4 linked regions of the Cricetulus griseus genome follow. The protein of the gene in region 2 interacts with the protein of the main gene of each other region in a pairwise test. Links are inferred from orthologs where the notes say so. Each region holds a gene or a part of one and is shown on either strand. Other genes may lie near its edges. The genes, in order: Mpg, Hsd17b14, Nek6 and Ca8.

The links.
Region 1: the proteins of Hsd17b14 (region 2) and Mpg interact in binary tests that used the Homo sapiens proteins (3 or more experiments, as listed by UniProt). The two-hybrid records come from large-scale screens. The link is inferred for Cricetulus griseus from reciprocal best matches to the Homo sapiens genes HSD17B14 and MPG.
Region 3: the proteins of Hsd17b14 (region 2) and Nek6 interact in binary tests that used the Homo sapiens proteins (3 or more experiments, as listed by UniProt). The two-hybrid records come from large-scale screens. The link is inferred for Cricetulus griseus from reciprocal best matches to the Homo sapiens genes HSD17B14 and NEK6.
Region 4: the proteins of Hsd17b14 (region 2) and Ca8 interact in binary tests that used the Homo sapiens proteins (3 or more experiments, as listed by UniProt). The two-hybrid records come from large-scale screens. The link is inferred for Cricetulus griseus from reciprocal best matches to the Homo sapiens genes HSD17B14 and CA8.

Annotation. Positions count from the first base shown.
Region 1 is NC_048600.1:46,004,070-46,009,661, reverse strand, and holds the start of Mpg (DNA-3-methyladenine glycosylase), read left to right. Parts: upstream 1-2,299; 5' UTR 2,300-2,356; coding exon 2,357-2,542; intron 2,543-3,631; coding exon 3,632-3,829; intron 3,830-5,592. UniProt on the Homo sapiens protein: Hydrolysis of the deoxyribose N-glycosidic bond to excise 3-methyladenine, and 7-methylguanine from the damaged DNA polymer formed by alkylation lesions.
Region 2 is NC_048599.1:154,463,841-154,469,395, reverse strand, and holds the start of Hsd17b14 (17-beta-hydroxysteroid dehydrogenase 14), read right to left. Parts: upstream 3,473-5,555; coding exon 3,385-3,472; intron 2,559-3,384; coding exon 2,520-2,558; intron 2,365-2,519; coding exon 2,282-2,364; intron 1,428-2,281; coding exon 1,361-1,427; intron 1-1,360. UniProt on the Homo sapiens protein: Catalyzes the NAD(+)-dependent oxidation of L-fucose, yielding L-fucono-1,5-lactone, which rapidly converts spontaneously to L-fucone-1,4-lactone. Can also act on D-arabinose and L-galactose, with lower catalytic efficiency. Does not use NADPH.
Region 3 is NC_048599.1:149,829,161-149,833,998, forward strand, and holds part of Nek6 (serine/threonine-protein kinase Nek6), read left to right. Parts: intron 1-323; coding exon 324-386; intron 387-2,757; coding exon 2,758-2,868; intron 2,869-4,838. UniProt on the Homo sapiens protein: Protein kinase which plays an important role in mitotic cell cycle progression. Required for chromosome segregation at metaphase-anaphase transition, robust mitotic spindle formation and cytokinesis.
Region 4 is NC_048595.1:152,452,530-152,457,990, reverse strand, and holds the start of Ca8 (carbonic anhydrase-related protein), read right to left. Parts: upstream 3,425-5,461; coding exon 3,325-3,424; intron 2,576-3,324; coding exon 2,384-2,575; intron 1-2,383. UniProt on the Homo sapiens protein: Does not have a carbonic anhydrase catalytic activity.

The sequences.
Region 1 (5,592 bases), on a different chromosome or scaffold from region 2:
GCTACAAGCAACTCCAATCTTCCCACCACCTGTAGAGAATCAGAACAGCTCACATCAGTGCTAGCCCCAGCCTTGAGCCCTTTCAAAGAGTCTCCCAATGGCATCTTTGCCACCAACCAGCAGTAAGATACACTGGGAACAGAAGAAGTCTCAGGCACCTTCCTCTTGGACATTCCCTTACTCCTGGCCAGCCTGCTGGCAAAACACAGCAAGGAAACACAAACCCACACTTCCAGCCAGTAGTGGGAGTTTCACACCACAAACCAGGAAGTGGGGAGGAGGGGGCAGACATTGCGCAATGCAATCCCACAGTCAGGCCAGAACATCTGGAGAATAGGATGCTGGCAACCACTCCCATCTCCTCCTCAGGCAGAAGCCAGGCTGGCCACCAAACAGAGGAGCTTCTCATTCACCCAAAGATAGGGACGAGATAGTTCTCTAGGAGTCTTCAAAATGCCCTCTTCTTCTCCCTCCTATCGGGACAAGAACCCAACGGGGGTCTCAGTTTCCCTCCTAGATTCGGAAGGGGCATTATTCCCACAGGAAGGGAGAGTCATTGTTTGGACGGAATGGCTGTAGGGGATAAGGAGGAAGGGGGTGGGAGCCACATCCAGGCCAATCTCATTAGTTCAAATTTACAACATATTGCCCCTACCCCACCCCCGGAAACGGCACAGAGTGCCACAAACAGCTGGATGACTTCCAACAGGCAGCAGGCAGGCAGAGAGGCTGCCCCTCCCTCCCCAGGAAGTCCTGGTTGAGGCCCATGAGAGGGGATGGCTGAGTCCCAGCCTGAGCTGGCCAGAGGAGAGCATTTGGGGACCAGAATCCTGATGCATAGCCTAGCCTTGGGCTAAGTGCCTTGCTCATCTGCTGGTCACAGACACGTGGCCTGTCCCTCTGTCCTGTCTAGCATCTCCCATCCCACACCCAAGTTGCTCTTCCATGCTAGGGTCAAGGAATTCAAACACAGCTCTGACAAACCCTCAAGGGTTTTGGCAAGCAGGGGCAGAGTGTGAATGGGGAAGGTAGGATTGTGTCTGCCAAGAAACCCTTCAGACCCAGATTCCCCCCTCCCCAGATAGTAGAAGAGGGTGAGACAGTGGCTGTGCTGGGTGTGGGGGCTGCCACGGAGCTGATGCAGCAAGTTAGATCATGGAGCACCTTACTCTGTCTCAAAGACCTCCCTTCCCTTGACCATTCCTTCCTCTGGGCCAGTCATTTTCCACTGGAGGCTCAAGTGTCCTCCAGTGGTGCACAGTCTCATTTGAGAGGCAACAGATAGGGTGGGTAGCAGGCCTAGGTCCTGGAGAGGCAATCATTAGAGGTGCCGGGCAACTGTTTGGGGGATTTTTTTAACTTTGTTATTTAAATTAGAAACAATCTTATTTTACATATCAATCCCAGTTCACTCTCCCTTCCATCCTCCCCTGTCCCCCACCGACTCCCCTCCCCCCATCCACTCCCCAGGGAGAGTGAGGCCTTCCATGGGGGAATCATCAAAGTCTGTCACATCATTTGGGGCAGGGCCTAGGCCCTCCCCCGTGTATTTAAGCTGAGAGAGCATCCTTCCACGGGGAAATGGACTCCAAAAGCCCATTCGTGCTCTAGGAATAAATACTGGTTCCACCGCAAGAGGCCCCATAGACTGCCTAGGCCTCCCAACTGTCACCGAAGCTCAGGGGCCCTGGTTTGGTCCTATGCTGGTTCTCCAGCTGTCTGGGCAACTGTTATCCAGTTAGATGGGTATTCCCAGATCCCTGCAGCCTTGGTCCTGCCCTACAAGCTGGCTCAGCTTAAGTGGTGAGCCCTCTTCTCAACAATTCCAGGTGGGGGTGGGGGTGGAGGTGAAGGGTCTACTGCCAAGGCAGGATTCCCTTTCCTTTCTCGTATCAGCTGTGATGACCGAGGAGGCGCCTCCAGGTGGGGCAGACATCCACTTCCGTTCAGTTCCACCTCCCTGCCCCCCATAGGGTTGGGGAAGGAGAGTTCCAGGATCAGAGTTCGGTGTGAGGTTCCCAAGGCCTTGTTTGTTCTCCACAGCACCAACCACACCCGCTGTGACCCAGCCCGTCCCAGAGCAAGGCCTTTGGCCCGGGACCCTCGGAAATTCAGTCCAGGTTCAGGGAGGTGGGACTTGACAGCAGTAGGGACAGCAGGATAGCCCCGGACTAGGAAACGTGGGTTTCAGCCAAAGCGGTGAAAGTAAAGAAGGTTCCCTCACTAGCCTCGCCTCTCCAACTAGGCTCCGCCTCTTCGCTCCACCCCCGAGCTTCGTGCCTTCTGCGCAGGAGCAGGCTCCTGTCCCCTCCCTCCCCGCGCTTCCGGCGGCCCGGCGCATCCTGTCGGCGGCTGGATGCGCGCCCGTGGCCGGGCCGGTGTGTGTGCGCGCCTCGGCAGAGGGTCTCTAAAACCGATGTCTGTGAGCTTGCCTCCTGACACCAACCAGCCTCTATTTCCTGGACGAGCCCGCCGCCCAGGGCGTGCCAGAGCAGGATCCCGAGTGACCGGATGCCGTGAGGCGGGCCAGATGCCAGCGCCGGTGAGACGGGGCGCAGCGTCGCGGAGTCTGAGCCCACGGCGAGCTGGCACAGTGGGTCGGGCTGCAGAGACGGTCACGTCAGCATCCATTCCGGGCAGCCTGACATCCTCGGTCCAACCTGGACGTCAGCACAACAGATAAAAATAATGGGTCTTTATCCGAGCGTGGTGGCGCACGCCTGTATTTCCAGTACTTGGGAAGTGGATGGAAGCAGGAGGATCGGGAGTTCAATGCCAGCATGGTCTACATGGGACCTTGCCTTTAAAAAAAAAAAAGTAATCGCTCATTAACCAGCCACGGAGCCGTGGTTATAGCTGAAGCCCAGTTTGGGCTGAAAACAGGTCTTGGCCCTGGCCCCAGGTTCACTGCCCAGTTGTCCCTTTCATCCCCCTTCTGTTGTACCACAATAGTTGAAGGATGTAGTGAGATTTCCCTACTTTGTTTACCCGGCTTTTGATAGACTAAGGCCTGCTGTGTCTTACTGACCCATAGACTTTTTGTCCCAGTTCCTAGTTATTCTCATACCCAAGCAGTCAGGTCAGTTGGGGGCCCTAAGCACTTAGAATGGGACCAGGGAGGTGGTCGTCCCCTTGTGCACCCACTTATGTGTCAGGTCTTCTGTTCAACACTGAGAGGGCCTGGTGACCTATACTTTTGAGCAATGACAGGACAAATTCAGTCTGTTTCTCTGCTAGGCCCTGCCCAGGTTCTGACTGTCTTTTAATTCCTGGCCAGGATTAGGAGCAAAGAGCCAGGTTCCAGAAACAAGTTTTCTTGGAGATGGTGTCATATATGGGAAGCAGAAAATACTGGCTCTTATGTATCAGACTCAGGCACCCACCTCTCCTTTTGCCCATGACCCAAGTTTCTCCTATGTACAGCAGGTGTGGGCAGAGAATGCCCACCCACCCTGATACCACTAACAACCTATTATTACCCACACCATGTTCCAAGGTCCCCTGAGGCTGTATTAACTATAGCCTTCTGTTTATGTCTCTGGAATGACCCACACAATGGGCACCCCACTTTGCAGATAAAGATACTCAGGCAAGTGGGAAGACACTTGGTTTTGTTTTTTTCCTACTACAGCTTTCCCAAAAGATCGGACAAAAAAAACTGCAACTAGCAGAATCACAGCAGCAGCAGATCCCTAAAGACAGGCCACCCTCATCCCTGGGCCTACAGCGGAGCATCTACTTCTCCAGTCCAGAGGATCACCCTGCCCGGCTGGGACCAGAGTTTTTTGACCAGCCAGCGGTCACCCTGGCCCGTGCATTTCTGGGACAGGTAATATAAATGCAGGTGCAGGTTCCAGGAGCCCTAGTCCTGTCACTCACTACTTGTTCACATCTCTGATTCGCCTTTGTTGTGCTCACACAGGTAGCCATCTTGTCCACATTGGCCGCGGATAGTTTGGTTATTGTCTAGGATCACTGCAAAGAATAAGAATATTGATAGGGGTGTTCCTTGTGGCGGTAGCAGGGCCACTGGCAATAATGGTATTATGTATTGGCCCCAGCATCTCTAAGGAGCCACTTTTGCCAATGGCTGGGGCCAAGGATACCATTAAGTTGCCAGTGTCTGAATCACTTAAAAGAGCTGGTCTCCACTGCATGGCTCAGTATGGGTCCAGGATCTGGGCTGGGCCAGGCATGCCTGGCGTGGGAAGTGGGGACTACCCCAGACCCAACCTGGTGTGGCCTATAATATATGCACATGATGGAGCTGGCCGTGTTCGTTTACAGCACCCACTATTCCTAGGTGCCAGAGCTGGTTTTAGGAGGTTTCCTGGCCCACCTTTTTCTCCTAACAAGCTTCCCTTTAGGGTAGCATGGCCAAGGACATCCGGTTTCTCTAATGGAAGAACTGGTGCTAAGAGTTCCATGTTAACAGGAACAGACCCTGAACAGAAGGGACTTAATTCTGTTGTCAAGGATGTGTTCTTTCTAAAAGCCCCATAATAATCAACATCTATGATTATGACAAACAACATGGTTTTTTTTTTACGTTAGGTTTAGGTCAAGAGCCCAAGGATGGTCACCACCACCATACATCTGCCTCTGTTCAGCATCCTGGATATGTCAACGGGCTGGGCTCCCTGTCATGCCTGCTTGAGCCCATATTGGTAGACAAGATGATGTCTGGCAGGAAAAGGGGTATTTTTTAGCCTGTGCATTCCTTTGGTCAAGGAAAACCCAGGTGTGGGTCACAAGCTCAGTAAAGATTCACTGTAGTGAGTTGCTGGGACAGCAAACGGCTGTGGACTGAGGATCGTGTTGCCTTCCCAGGCCCTCCACCAGAAAAGTCCTGGGAGCTCCCTCCAGCTCAGCTGGGGTGCCCCAGTGTGCCCCTTGGAGATATGGGAGCATGCAAGTATAGTTAGTGAAGGAACACTCCCTGACCTTTTTCTCCTTCCAAAACATTCATTCCTGTCTTCAGTGTTTTGGGTTCTAGAAAGGATTTCCAGGCTTCCAAGACAAGCACTGACCCCTTCTTTTCCTCCACTCTGCCTGTTACATTGACCCTGAGGCACCATGGGTCAACCTGGACTGAGATGAAGGTGCCTTCTGACCAAATAACCCCTCAAACCTAAGGATGTGAGGTGCTGTTGACATGGCTGGATGCTGAAATCCTTCCATGAGCCCTAGTTAAGACAGCTGGCCATTCTTAGGATCATGGACCAGGCTAGGCACTACATGAGCTGGCCCCGCTGGTCCTGTTTCTCATTAAGGTCAGCACTAGTAGGCAGTCTCAGTGTAGATCCTTTGTGGCTATCCTAGTTTAACAAGCACATCACAGAATCTGAATATCCCAGGAAATGTGTAGGGACCCCTTGGGGCCACTGAACATTTAAGGCTCTCAAGGGAACGGTGGGAAGAGGATGTGGGAAAGCCAAGAACGCCACTGAGGGGAATTTGAGGTCAACCTGCACAGTGAATACAAGTAAATTCTCAAGATGTGGTCAGAACCCTTAGTGAACAACAACAACTATAGTTGGTCAAGAAGGGGTGGTGACCTTAATATCAGCATTCAGGCTCTGAGCAGGAGCA
Region 2 (5,555 bases):
CAGCCTAAAAAAAGAAGGACACAGATGACAATGAGGTCCCTGCAAGTCTGAATCCCTACCAAGATGTGAATGAAGAAAAAAGAGGCTAAGACAAGGAGAGCCTCCCTGGCCAGGGGACAATCCTCTGCACCTCCATCTTTGAGGGGACTCTGGAAGGCCTGGGTGCTCTCTGAGCCTTAGTTTCTATGGGGACATATTGTCTTTTTATTTTATTTTTTTTTAGATTTATTATGTATACGGTGTTTTGCCTGCATATATGCCTGCACACCAGAAGAGGGCACAGGATCTCATTACAGATGGTTGTGAGCCACCATACAGTTGCTGGGAATTGAACTCAGAAGAGCAGCCAGTGTTCTTAACCTCTGAGTCATCTCCAGGCCCCTAGGAGACACATTGTCTTAAAGTGCACCTGTTGGGCTAATGGAAACCTTCCAGAGTGCCACACCACCCAGAGTCTGATGAAGTGTGCCTGGATGTCCTTATCACCAGCAAGATCCTGGGCCTTCAGCAAAGTAGGAGCTACCCAAAGTGTGACTTCCTTTAGAGACTACAGCACCCCCAATGAAAAAGGTGATTCTTTTTTTTTTTTTTTTTTCTTTTTTTCTCCGAGACTCTGTTTCTGGACCTATTCCCTTTAGAAGCTAAGGTCTCGAACTCACAGAGACAGAGAGAGATCCACTCTGCCTCCCTAGTGCTGGACTAAAGGCATGTGCCACCACCACCCTGCAGCTGTGATAATTCTTATTTCAAAGATGGAAACTGAGTCACGGAGATGGGGAGCACATAGCCTAGGAAAGAAGCTCAGGCTAGAGCTATGTATTAGGATGGGGGAGGATGGAGAGATGACTGCAGTTATGAGCACGCTCAGGCTGCTCTTCCAGAGGACCCAGGTTCAATTCCCAGCACCCACATGGCAGCTCACAACTGTCTGTAACTCCAGTTCCAGGGGATCCAACTGCTTCTTCTGGCCTCTGTGGGCACCAAATATGTAAGTGGTGAACAGACATACATGCAAATAAAAATACGTGCACGTGCACGTGCACGTGCACACACACACACACACACACACACACACACACACACACCACGAAGGCTGTGGCCTGAGAAGGGAGTAAACTGAGGTTCAGAGGAAGGGTTGAGATGCCTCAAATGTAAAGGCACTTGCCACCAAGCCTGAGAACCTGAGCGCAACCCCACATGGTACAAGGAGAAAGCTAATCCCCTCCAGTTGTACTCTGAACACCACACAAGTACTGTATGCCGGTGTGCAGATAAATGTAATCATCTCTAAGGGGAAGGAATAGGGAATAGGTTGTAAGTTGACATCAGGGGACACTAGGCCCCAAGCCACACAACTTACGGTAGCCAGCATTATTCACCACACAATCCAGGTGGCCAAATCGAGAGAGGGTCTCAGAAATCAGAGCCTGAGGAGAGAACAAACAGCAGGTGATGAGCAGTGAGGTGGCAGCCTTGGAAAAGCCAAAGCAAGGACAGGCTCAGTTGTGGAAGACAAGGTAGGGGGAGGGAGGAGAGGCTCAGGGTCACAGCGCAGGTCTAGAAAGAGGAGAGAAGGCAGGAAGCTGGGGGCCCAGACCAGAGACCTAAGCACCCACGTTGCTATTTGTCATAGTTAGGGTTTATGGCTGTGACCCAACACCAGGAGCGAAAGCAATCTGGCGAGGAAAGGGTTTATTTCTGCTTACAACTCTCAGGTTACACGCCATCACTGAGGGGAGTCAGCACAGGAACTGAAGCAGAGACCATGGAGGAACACTGCTCATGGCTTGCTCCCTGTGGCTTGTTCAGCCCCCTTTCTGCCGCTATGTGATGTCACAACCCCCAGGGGGCTGGGGGCTGGGGGCTGGGCCCTCCCACATCAACTACTAATTAAGAAAATGCACCACAGCCCGTTTGGTGGGGCCATATTCTCTGTTGAGTCCCCTCTTCCCAAGTGACTCTAGCTTGTGTCAAGTGACCAGCACCGCCATAGAAGATGAATGCGAGGGCAGAAGACTGAGTCCGGGAAGAAGCGACGATAGATCCAGAGGGGGCGGGGAGCAGACAGGCAGAGGCAGGGACACAGAGACAGGGCACAGACTGGGGACAGACCTGGGGACACAGAACTGATTCTGAGCGCAGGGGAATCAGAAATGACAACAGAGGGTGTGGATTTCAAGTTCTGCTTGATCTAAAGAATGGAGCGAGAAGGGGCAGATGGACTGTGCTCACTGAGCTGACCCAGGGCACGGAGAAGGGGGAGTGCACTGGGAACGCCCACCTGCAAATCTCCTTCCTGAGTCACATCACAGGGGACGAAGACAGTGCCCAAGAGTTCCTGCTCCAGAGCCCGGCCCCTCACCTCTGCAAGAGAAAGACTCGGGTCTGAGGGAGGGAGCTGAGGCTTGGATCAGAGTCTGGGGAGGAGCTTGGACTCCTGAGTCTGGGGTCTGAGGGAGCAGGGCTGGCCTTGGATCCCTGCGATGACGGAAGGAAGGCATAGTTGAGGACTGACTTACCATCCTTGTCGCAGAAAACAACTTGAGCCCCACTGTCCACTGCCAACAGAGAGAGGAGAGAGAGAGAGAGAGAGAGAGAGAGAGAGAGAGAGAGAGAGAGAGAGAGAGAGAGAGAGAGAGAGAGAGAGAGAGAGTGAGTTATGGACCCTGCAGACTCGGGGCGAGCCTCTGCTGCCTCTTGTGACACGGAGAGCACCTGGCTCTCGGCAGCTCTCGTGACTGCCTCGGGACAGGCCTCTCAAAGGGCAGAATTTCCCTTCCTCTGCTCCACCGCCATCCTAGGTTCCAGAAAAATCCCAAACCTAACATTCCTCAAAGCTATCGTTTGTAGCTAGGGACCCATCAAGGGAAGAACTCTTTTTGGCTTTTCGAGAGGGTTTCTCTGTGCAGCCCTGCCTGTCCGGGAACTCTCTGTGTAGACCAGGCGGGCCTCCAACTCAAAGATCCACCTGCCTCTGCCTCCTGGCCAGGCAAAGAACTCTTCATAAAAGTCTTATCGGCACCAGCAGAAGCCATCACTACACCAGCTTACCCAACAGTCCAAACCGCCTCATGTAAGAATGAGACTGAGGGCCGCAGAGATGGCTAAGTGGCGAAGAGCACTGGCTGCTCTTCCAGAGGACTCGGGTTCAATTCCCAGCACCCACACGCTCACAACTGTAACTCCAGTTCCAGGCGATCCAACACCCTCACACAAACGCAAAACAATGCACAGAAAAAAAAATAAGAATAGACAAATCACTAAGGAATGAATAAATCATTTTAAAAAGAGTGAAACCAGGTCTCTCCCTCCCACTCCGTGAATCTGTCACCCCACCCCACCCTTTCCCACATTCAGACATCGGGCAGGAAGACCCTGACTCACCGAAGGCTCTGACGATCCCAGCCCCAATGCCTCGACCACCCCCGGTCACCACCACCACTTTCCCGGAGTATCGGTTTACAGCTGCCATTCCCAGGTGACTTGTCTTGTCTCCCACGCCCTCGCCCTCCCGGCCTCTTTCGACCTCCAAAGTCCAGGAAAGCAGTGGGATGGAACCAGACAGGCTGGGTCCTTGTAGGCTGGCCCTGGAGGGGTGTTCCCGGGAGGGCCACACACCTGCGAACCTGCCTCAGACCTGGAGGTTGAGTCCTAGCTTCTCTTTCTCAAACGCTGGGGTCCCCACCCTGACACTCCTCCTTCAGACTCAGGGTCCTGGCCCCAGCCCGCCCCCATCACGTTGACTCTAACCCTGTTCCTGAGACCCATAAGATCAGCACCTCTTCCTCTGACCTAGAAAAACAGGCTCTCCAGCCTCCTTCCCCAGACACAATATATCTGGCTCCCAACTTCCTCATACTGTTAATCACTACCACAATTTGATCCAAATTTGGAGCAAGCTTGTCTGCCTTGTTTTTATTGGGATTCACTCAAGAGCTGGCCAGTGACTGCCTGCTAAATCAGGTTAAAGAGAGCAGCCCCGAATCCACCTCTTGGACCTCTTTTAAGAAGTAAAATCACAAGTAGTTTTACAGAAGGGAGAGAATGGGACAATAAGAAAATACAAAAAAAAAAAAAACTTAAAAAGTCATGAGGTCACCCATCATGTGATTAGGGAGGTGTCAGGGAGGGGTCAAGGAGAGCCAGGGTATTCTCAAAAACAAATCAAGGTCAGATTCCAAAAAACAGAGAGCAGCTCAACTCTCACAGTAAATAGAAACTTATTTATTTTTTATTCTTTTTGGATTTTCCAGACAGGCTTTCTTGCCCTGCAGAAACTTATTTTTTTAAAAAACTGCATAATGGAGTCAGACCGGTTCCTCGTTCCCCCTTGACTTGTGTTTCCCTGTCAAGTCCATGATGGGGGTTGTCTTAATAATATTCTCAAGCAGCAGTGATTCTAACATTGTTTATCTGACAAGTGATCAAGTTAGTGACACACTGGAGGGCACAGGGCCAGATTATGATAACAAGTATAACAAGTAGAAGTTGGGCGTTGGTGGTGCACACCTTTAATCCCAGCACTCGGGAAGCAGAGGTAGGTGGATCTCTGTGAGTTCAAGGCCAGCCTGGTCTACAAGACAAGAAAGGCTCCAAAGCACAGAGAAACCCTGTCTCAAAAACCTCCCTCCACCCCAAAATCGAAAAAACAAACAAAAAGCCAAAAAAAAAAAAAAGAGATAAAAAGTAGAAGTAATATTACAGGGCCAGTGAAGGGGGAGAACCATCTTAGCCATATTGGCCAGGCCAAGTTTATTTGAGAGACTCTGTCTGTTTCTTTACTTAGGTCACCAGTTTGGTTGTCAATAGTGTTATTCTTTTGTTTAAAAAGAAGAGAAGAGAAATGCTTAGACATGAGACATATTGACTATAAGTTTATTATAAGGCCCGGCAGAATGGGGAGACTAAGAGAAGAAGAACAGGGTAATGGCTGACCGCCATGGCCTGTCGCCATAGAGAGAGCGCATAGGTGAGAGAGAGAGTAGAAAGGAAGCTGAGAGGAAACAGAGCGGGGGGGGGGGGACGGGGGGACGGGGGAGGGGGACGGGGACAGAGAGAGTAAAGGGGCAGGGGTCTGTCTTTTAAAGGGGTCCTCTGCACCTGCGTGCAGACTTACAGGGTACTGCCTGTTCCACCAGGTTCAGCATAATGCCTGAACCTTTCAAATAGTATGAGAGAAGCCGGAGATTTTAAGACAGCACATTGTAGGAAGCTGCTGACAGCCAGCACTGTCTGAGTGACAGGTAATCTATGGTAGCGCTGTGCTGAAAAACGGTTGTTCTCAGTTCTCCCACTTGTTGATTATCTCCTGCTGACCCTGTGGATATTTTTGCTGTAATATTAGCAGTTTCTGAAATTAGACAGGCTATTTTAGAAACCTCTCTTTGAAGTCCGGTAAGTCCTGGGGCAGGTAACAGAAAGGCTGTGGGAGCAGCAACTGTAGTGGGATCCCATAGATGGACGGAATCATCTCAATATCCACAAAGAGATCTTGTAATGCTATTAACTCGGCAGATCATAAAGATTGGCCGGGTGAAGTAGGTGTAACATATGCT
Region 3 (4,838 bases), about 4.6 Mb from region 2:
GTGCTGGCATACTGCCAATGGCTGCCTTTGGTCCGCCCCTACAAGTCTTAGGCTTTGGGTCCCTGTTGAAGGAGTGACATACCACTAGTCAGGGTGTGACCTCAGCAAGGCTCAGTGGTCCTCAGTCCCTGCTCTGTGTGGTAGGCATTATGGGACACAAGTGAACTTGACAGCATGGTCTCTGACTTGGCTGACTTGGCTGTTGCTGAGAGTTGGGACTGTGCTTCTTCTGAGGTCTTAACAATGAGCAGGCTGAGCAGAGGGTCGAATCCAGTCTACAGGCACTGGTTTTAACTTCCATTTCTGGCTTCCTCTTGCCCTAGATCTTTGAGATGATGGATGCCAAAGCAAGGCAGGACTGTGTCAAGGAAATTGGTCTTCTAAAGGTGAGTGGCCTGGATCAGGCCAGTCTTGATTGGGCCAGCTCTCTAGGTTTCTACGGGTCAGACAACCTGGGCGTATCCGGACAGCACACATGGAGCATCGGGTTTGTTTGCAGTTGTCCCTGTCTTCTTCCCAGTGATCCCATATTGATTTCCCCAGAGCCACAGATAGAACTTCCAGACTGGACTTGGACCCCAAGCTGGAGGCTAGAAGAAGAAGAAAGTGTTGGGTTACAGTACTATTGTCTTCCTTTTCAAGCTGTGTGACTTAACTTTCACAAGTGACTTAACCTCCACCAGCCTCTGTTTAGCCATCTTGTAAATAGCAGGAAGACCTCCCTGACAGGTTTGAGAGGACTATGGAAACAAAACAACACAGGCCTGGGGACCCAGCTCTGTTGGTAGAGTGATTGCCTCAGAAGCATGAGTATAGGAATTCAATCCCTAGAACCAATTTTTTGTTGTTGCTTTTTGTTAAGACAGAGTTTCTCTACATAGCCCTGGCTGTCCTAGAACTCACTCTGTAGACCAGGCCGGCCTTGAACTCACAGAAATCCATCTGCCTCTGCGTCAGGAGTGATGCAATCAAAGGTGTGAGCCCCCTCCCCCAGCCTCCACATTTGTTTGTTTGGTTTCTTTAAAAAGCCAAGCAAGGTAGGTATTGCACACTCTAGCCTAGTGCTGAGGTGTAGACCCTAGGGCTTCTGAGGCTCACTGGCCAGATAATCCAGTCCAATTAAGCAAGCTAGTAATCAGTAAGACATCCTGTCTCAAAAAATAAGGAGAGGCCAGCAAAGACAGCTCAGTGAGTAAAGCACTTGGCATGCAAGCCACCTGAGCAAGTCCCCAGAGCCCATGTAAAGATGGGAGAACTGACTTGACATCATCCTGTGATTGCTACACAGGTGCATGGCATGCACATCACTCACTCACACACACACACACACACACACACACACACACACACACACACACACACACTAATAATGAACAGAAATTGTAATGTTCTCTGATGGCAACCAAAGCTGGTGTTAGTTCCCAACATTCTCAAAACAATTCAGTAGGACAGAGGAGAGTTGGAACAGGGTGCTGGGAAAGCGGACTTGCCGATGAGAAAGAAGAAGCTGTAAACCCTGCGTCACACCACATACATGCTTGTGAAATGGATTAGTCAAAAATAAAATGAAAAACTAAATTGAGGAACATTTCTGTAGTCTGTGAGAAGATTTGAAAGTTAAAGCTAAGCCAGGTATGGTATCATCCACCTGTAATTATATAGCCTGCAACACAGAGGAGGCTAAGGCAGAAGAATCACCTGGAGTTAAAGGCCAGCCTGGGTTACATAGTGAATACCAAGCCATTCTGGGCTGATGTACAGAATGAGATCCCCAAGGACTGAGCAAAACACAAGCTAAGGCTATAATCAAAAGTTTGTAGGAGAAAACTACAGCGACTTATCATAGCTGGAGCACACAGAGTTGTCCCCAAATATCAAGGGCATTAGCCACAAAAGGCCAGAATCATCTATGTCTGTGGCTACCATACAGAGATGAAAATGCAAGTCACAGCCAGGAGACAGCATCAGCAACCTCATCACTTCATTGACAAAGGTCTTATGCATATATGAGCTGACAGATCAGTAGTGATAAGTAAATAACCCAGGGCCTAATCGGGTTCAGTGTTTTCAGAGCTCCAGGGCATCTGGTCCGTAACCCCACCTTACCCCATGCCCACTCCTCTAGGCTCCTAGCGCCACCTGCTTTGTCACTCTGTTCTCTGTTCAGCCTCTGGGATGTACCTACCATAGGGCCTTTGCACAAGCCATATCCACTCAGACCCCTGCCCTCAGGAATTCACATTAGGCTTGAGGGCAGCCTTTCCTTCTGGCCCAGTCCAGCTGAGCTCAAAGGCTGCTGGAGCCTCGGTAAACATGCTGTCAGTCAGACCCTGGCTGTCCACTGATAGATGAGCAGTATCAACCACGTTGTAGCAGTGTTGGAGTCTTCTTTTGCTTCCCTAGACCCAGTAGCCATGTAGGTATAGTGTCACCACCAGGGTCCTCTCTGTGAGGTAGAGCTGATTTTTACCACCCTGCCTGGCCTCCACTCACTTCCTCACCATGGAGACCAGAGGCAGGAACCTACACTAGGAGTGTAAGTTAAGGGTTCTTAGGGTAGAAAGGATTCTTAGTTTCTAAGGGATGGCTGAGACATTGAGAAAGAACAAAAGAGCAGGAATGTTTCTGTGAACACTCCTGGGCAGAAGCTGGCCTGATGCTGCACTGGAGGTGTCTTAGGGGAATGTGTGCAGGGCAGGCACTGCAGCCATGCCACTCATCACTGATGTGACTCCCCCCCCCCCCTTTCTGGTACAGCAACTGAACCATCCAAACATCATCAAGTACCTGGACTCATTCATTGAAGACAATGAGCTGAACATTGTTCTGGAGTTGGCTGATGCAGGCGACCTCTCACAGATGATCAAGGTCAGAGCACCCTTCTCTCAACCTGAATGGCACTTCTCCACGTCCCAGCAACAGCCTTGGCCTGGTTCTGACCTCCTATGTGCTGTCAGGCTCCTTGGGGCACACAAAGCAAGGTAGACTGATGCCTAGACAGGATGATGACTGGGTAAGGGCTATGGTACACATAAGGGACCCTTTGGACCAACCACACTGCTCTAGCTCAGAGCACATGAGGACACTTTTCTCTTCAGAAGGAACAGGAACCTCTAAAGATCAGACTCCAATTTCTGTCTTAAGTTACTATTACTGTGATGAAACACCATCACTAAAGCAACTTGGAGAGGAAGGGGATTTATTTTGCTTACACCTCTCCATCAAAGGAAGCCAGGATAGGAACTCAGAGCAGGAACTGGAGGCAGGAGCTGATGCAGAGGCTATGGATGGGTGCTGCTTACTGGCTTGTTCCTCTGGCTTACTCATCTGGCTTCCTTATGGCCCCCAGGACCACCTGCCTAGAGGATAGCACCATCCACACATGGCTAGACCCTCCCCCATCAATCACTAATTAAGAAAATGCCCTGAAGGCTTGCTTACAGCCTGATTTTATGGAGTCATTTCTTAAATGAGACTCCCTCCTCAGATGACTATAGATTGTATCAAGTTGCCATAAAACTATTCAGCACAATCGACCCCTTATCAGCTTGACACACAAGCACATCACTGTTGAGCCACAATCTTCCCTTTCTTGTTTTTTCCCCAAGATCACACACTAATATCAACATCACAATATTTTACAAACTTAAAAAGTCCCCCAGTCCTCTACAAATTCAAAAACATTAAAATTCAGGCTCTTTAAAAATTCCAAGTCCGTTTTAAAAATTCAAAGTCTTTCAGCTGTGGGGTCCTGTAAAATAAAAAATAAGTTAAGTATTTCCTTACTTTAGGGGGGAAGAATAGGGCACAGTGACAATGTGAACAAAGCAAAACCAAGCTCCAGCTGAGTAAATAGTGCAGTGTCCACTCACGCTCTTCTGGGTTCTTTCAAAGGGTTTGTGTCACTTGTCCAGCTCAGTCCTCTGCAGCACACACAGCTTGTCTTCCAAGTTCAGGGAGGCTCCACTCCACCTCTGCTGCTGTTCTTGGTGGTCATCCCATGGTACTGGCATCTCAAACAGTGGAGTCTTCTGGTGCAGGTGGGCGGCACTTTTCACCAGTAGCCTCTCCTGGGCTCTCACAGTGCCAAGTCTCAGCTGCTCTCCATGTCCCCAGCATTTCTTCAACACCCCCCCCCCGCCTGCCCCAGTGATTCTTCCACTACCAAGTTTAGCTGCCAGCACAAGGTGCAACTTTGGCCGCCTCTGAACACAGCTTCTGTGTGCTGACTCAGGAAAAACGTCTCAGGGGATTTCACCTCAGTGATGCTGGTCTCCTCTATCATCTCCAAGTTCTCAGCTCCAGCTGACCAGCATCAATTAGTCCAGCAAAGTAGAGGTTTCGCTTTAGTGGTCCAGTCTCTTGTTAATCACAGCCAATTTTTCAGCCCCAGCTGAACAGAACCACAGATTCTTAATTCAAAATGTGCAGTGGCCCCATAGAGTCTTTAAGTGACATGTCCTATGGCTCCAGCTACCACATTCTATAGTAGGGGAAACTGAGGTCCAGAAAGGTTGGCTTGTCTGAGAATACTGTGTGGGAGCTCATACTGTGTACCTGGTCTGGAATTGGTCAGAGGTCATTGTCTCCACAACCCAGCCTTTGGACAGGTGTATTTATTACCACATAGTGAGGATTTCATGCCAGGTCTGTGAGAGCCTGAGCAACTGTGTGCCTGTGAAGCTCAGGGCCGTGCTCTTTCACATTCCATAAACTGTCTCTTCCCCTCTCAGAACTCACAAGGGGAACTACTGTGGGTCTGGTTTCAGGGACATGGCAGGGACACTCTCCATTGAGAGAGTGCCACCATCAGCCACAGAAATGTTAAGCCACTGAGC
Region 4 (5,461 bases), on a different chromosome or scaffold from region 2:
AAATTAATGCAAACTATCAGCACCAAGTTTTAGAAACTAAAAATGTGAGAGCAAAAATGAAAAGTGGGTATGTGTTAACTTTTCAGCATCAGTCCAGACAGAGAGGAACAACTCCAAGGGGCAGGAAAAAGGACAGGAGGGAAGGAAGGACGATTCGGTGCCTTTGAATGTCCTGAGACAGGACCTATCATGTGTCAGAGTTAAAAGTGAATTCCTGTTAGGTAACTTTAAAAATAAATACCCAAAAATACAGTAACTCCAGGAGAAAACATTGTTCTATAAAGGAAACAGAATATAGTCTTGAGCAGAAATGGCAGGTGCAAGGTCATAGCAATAATGTTTTGAGTATTAATTTTACTAACTGCATAATTTAGGCATGTGGGGCAAAACCAGGACAGGAGAGGCTTTTAAGACCGCCTCCCCTTCCACAGCAGGGAGCCCGGAGAGCTCTTAAACATCAGAATAACATACACATGTTATTAGGAAATAAAGAGAAGCCATTTAAAAAGGTTCAGCCCCAAAAACAAACATCTAAGTACATACAGACTGAGAAGATTGTACTTATATATTTAGGAATATATATGTACATAAATTTACATATATGTATATAACAGCAATTAATGAAAAGTGGTCATGAGTTTGAAAAAGAGCAAGAAAAGGTATATGTGAGGGTTTGGAGAAAGGAAAGGGAAATGATGAAATTATATTATGACTTCAGCAAACAAAAAATAATTCTTAGAGATTCAAAGTAGTTGTTGCTAGAGAAAAACAAGTTGTAGGAGGAGTGAGATAGGCTGTAGCTAGAGGTAGAGAAAATAAAGAAATAGCCAACTATTCAAATTATGTCTGTATTCCATTTTGATAAAGAAAATACTTCCTTAAATAAATAATGGTGTTCAGAGTTTACAGAAGCTGAAATATCCTAAAAAAGGTAATAAACTACTCAAGACATTGTTTTTTTCAGTTACTTGTCTTTTTTAGATAAGTGTCCACTATGTAGATCAGACTAGCCTGTACTCACAGAGATCAACCTTCCTCTGCTTCTGGAGGGCTGGAATTAAAGGTGTGTGCCACCATGCACACCACCAATTAACTTTTAAGTTTGCTGAAATATTGAAAAGGAGAAATTACTGCAGTGACAGAAAGAGAACAGAGCATGTGAGGGAGGAAAGTCCCAGAGGACTGGAGGACAAAACCTGGAGCAGGACAGAAATACAGGTGGTTCTTCCTACCACTCAGGAGTGGAAGTCAGAGGAGGAAAAGGACAAAGGAGTATACCAAGTATATGGTAATGTAAAATATACCATAGCCAGAGGTAAACATCTCCAAGACATAGGAGGAACTTAGGAAGAAATATACTAACTCTATACAAAACACAGACTGTGCTTCAGGAGCCATCACAACCTTGATTAAACTTACAACAGCCTCAAAGAATACATGTTCTATCTCACAGATTTCAAATAAAGTGCCGAAACATGATAAGTTAAAGGAAGAAATCCGTACCTTCCTTGCCTAATGTCAGACCTAAAGGTTTTATGATTTAAAATACCTACCCTATCAATCTGAAGTTAACGTAAGCACAGCCTATTAAAGCTCACATCAACATCCAACATACTCTAATGTTCCATTCTTTCCAGGAGGAAAACGGTCATTATCCCCCTGAAAAACACAATGTTAATGCTTGTTTTTTTAATCTGCTTTCATCTCTCCTACAATTAAGCTGAAAACCAATTTCCCTGGAAATTTAATTTTTCCACAAACCATTTCAGATCCATTTCAACTAGGTTCACGAAGAAGGGTGTGTAAAACTAAACAAAACCAAGAGCTAGGTTTCCATTTAAATATCTGGCTAAGCTTCCATTTAAATATCCAGCTAGGTTTCCATTTAAATATCTGGCTGGGTTGAACTGTTATTAAAATCATTCTTGACATTAATAGAGAAGGGAAATTTAATTTGAAAAGTTTATCTTGAACATGAACAACATCAATAAATTCTGATCTTTGGTTTCACAAACCAGAAAAACGAAGAATTATAATTAAATGATTTCAGCTAATCAATAATTTTGAACAAGATGCACAGAAAAAAAAAAAACTCAAATAAACATGCCTGTGTATGTACTGCTTTCCCCACAGTTCGGTAAATGTTTGTTCAAGCAACAGAGGCGGCTCCAGGCACAGCTTTGGGAGAACAGCCAGCTGAGACAGCCATCACTTCACCCTCTTAGCCCTTCACAGCTATTTCAGAATATAATTCCCAGAAAATGCATCTTGTAAAGAACTATGAAGATAGAAATTGCATCGGTGCCCCCTTTAAGACCCTGTAAGTTAAATCAGAGATTGTCCACTTGCTCACAAAAGCGCAGAAACACACTTTCCAAAATACCTGATTTTGACTTTAGGATAACTTGAATGGTGTGTCCATCGTTGGTGACTTCACAGTCCCTGCAGACCACGTAATTCGGAGACAGACGGACATCCAGCAGCGACGGATCGTACCTAGCTTCTCTGGAATTTAGGTTGATAGGAGACTGGTACTCCCCGTTGGCATCGGGAAACACCAAGCCCCACTCAACACCTGAGGAGAAAATAACAAAAATTGAGAATAGGTTTTGTTTAAGTTAGCAACAATAAAATATAACATAAAAACTCATAATCCTTGATATTATAGCTATGACTACCATCTATATATAAATGAAATATGAGAAATGTGTATGGGTTTTTACATTCATTATGTGAGTGATCTGTTTATATTTATAATACCACACACGAAATTCTTTACTGTGTGTTTATATCTGTGCACACAGATGCCTTGATTTTAGGGATTTGGGAAACGTAAGTCATTTTTAAGTGATCAGAAAAAACGCCACAAGAATTTCCTCTGCTCATCAGTTCAATTACATGCAATACTTAGAAAATATCTGCAATGTTCAACATGCTCAGAGACAGCAGAAACCCTGTGGTGCTGAGTAGCAACACTTGTTTAAAAAGCAAATACAGTATCCCATGCACATGTTTATGGACTCCTTTGCGCTTTTTTCCCTCTGTATACAGTAAACATGGGCACTAATGTCTATTAGGAGTCCTGGGCTTCCGGGACAGATTTAGGAAACTCCTTTTAAAGTCTCCAAGAACACTGACCCAGCTTGAATTCGGGACGCATTTGGCGCATTTGGTTGTACTTCTCAAGACTAGGAAGCAACTAGGTTTGCTCCGGGCTGGGCTGCCTGAGAGCAGCAGGTGCGAACTGCGGACGGGCAGCCTCGGAGAGGAAGGCGCCGGACCGCGCCGGGCAGAGAAGCAGCGACAGCAGCCCCAGGAACCTACCTTCCTCGTAGCCCCACTCCACGCCCTCCTCCTCCTCCTCCTCGTCTTCCTCCTTCTCGGGGAAGGCAACTGCATCCTCGATGAAGCTCAGGTCAGCCATGGGCAGCTGTGCGGCACGGGTGCGGCAGGCGCGGGGCTGGGGGCCGCGCGGAGCGTGGCAGTCCCCGCGAGCGCGAGCAGCGGCGGCTTGGACTCAGGCTGGCGCGTTTTAAGGCCGGTGGGGGCGTGTCTGGCCTGAAGACCCGCCCCCTACTAACACCCTCCCTCCTCCCCCCCCCAACAGAGCCGCCAGCAGAAAGCCGAGCTGGGGTGGCTGCACCCCAGGAAGCCTGCTGCGCCCAAGCGCGACCCCAGGACCCGCCTGGCCCGGGCGCCTCACCTTGCTCCAGGCAATGTCCTGAAATGAGCGGATGGGTGGCCTTGGCATGGGAAGGGCATTGAAGACCGAGAACTCAATAAGACTGTGGTCAAAGGGTTTATTCCCCATCATTTACCCGTTAGTTTTGTTGGGGCTTGATTTTGTAAGACAGGGTCTCAAGGAGACCAGGCTGGCTTCAAACTCCTCCCTGTGGAGAAAGGAATGACCTTGAACTTCGTAAACACTGGGGTTGCAAGAATGCACCACCACAGCCTGGGTCGCTGTCCTGTGAGCTGGTTTTACTTTTTAATTCGTCCTTAGAGCACAGTGAAAATGTGCATAGCATTTTTTCCCTCAAGAAACTCCTACAAACATTTCAGGAAAAGAAAAGGACGAATTTAGCATCAAGAAGTAGGTATACTTTGGGAGGTCTTTACTAAATGTATTTCAAAGACAAGGAAACAGGGTGTTTGATTCCACTTTCTAAGTCCGGGGTGCTGCTTCAGACTCACCTTACTGCGTACACTGCTCCCAAGCAACTCGTGAAATCGTGCAAATAATGAAATGCACACATTACGAAACAAACAGGAACTTTCCCTGATCCAAAGAGGTCAAGTCGTTACCTCTGGAACATGTTTCCCAACCCCAGGCTAATGCTTCATCTCTGTGTTCCAGCCCTGTTCAGTAACCCCTAAGCTTCTGTTCTCCACATTTTAGGAGATATATTTGTATGATAAGCTCGGCTGCAGGCCTGGCGTACAATTTACCTTTTATATATCCTGTGCACACTCCAAAATGTCTGTGAGCAGATTAATGGACTGTGGTTCCTAGATCGTTACATCTTTATGCATGCTAGTTCCTCAAACAGGATGGAGATGATTAATTGGGGGACTTTGAGATGCTGGATTCCTATCCTTCACTGCCTGCTGGAACCTTAACTTTAAAAATCACATCACCATCTGTTAGATACGTCTTCAGAAAGTGGATGGAGGCTAAGGAGAAAAAAAATCAGGAGTTGGCCTACTTGACACTTTCTGAAAAGTGAAAATTGTTGACCAACTTCAGCACCAACAAAACCTATGGATTTCAAGCATATGCCATTTCTTTTCTCTATTACAGAGGCTGCAAACTGACTTCCCCATCCAGAAGAAAAAAATAATCAGACACTAAATTCACCCTGAATTCTCAGCCTTTCCACATATTTAGTGGCATTTTATCTGCTACTTAATAAGCCCCAGAGCCCACTCACCCATAAGCACTGACAAAAAGCATCCACCATTTTCTACTGTTGTTCATCTAAAAGGAATTTTGCATTTCTTTTTCACTTTACTTTCAAATCTTTTCACAAGACTGGATTTGTTTAGAGTTTCTTGTATATACTTTCACATTAATGAAATGCCATAGCTTATGAAGTCCACACAAAGACTATATAGGATGTCTATAACAAAATCCCTGGTCCATTCCAAACTCATCATTGATATTCCCCTGTGCCTCCCAAATGGGCATAGATGTGACATTGTGGCCCATTGTGTGACCACTAATTACATTTAAAGTACAAAATCAAATGACAGCCGACTCTCCTTGGCAGGTAAGTTTGTCATAAGTAAATAGTGTGCATATTTACAAGAGATAGGCTGAAAGTTTGTGTTGTTAATATTAAAGTTTGCAGCTAATAGGTACTGCTATTCAAAAAATGGGGCTGCTTATGAGACAGGCACTTGTTTGGCCCATATTTGTTCTTTCCGGATTTTCAACCTCTTTTGTATAATGTAACTCCTG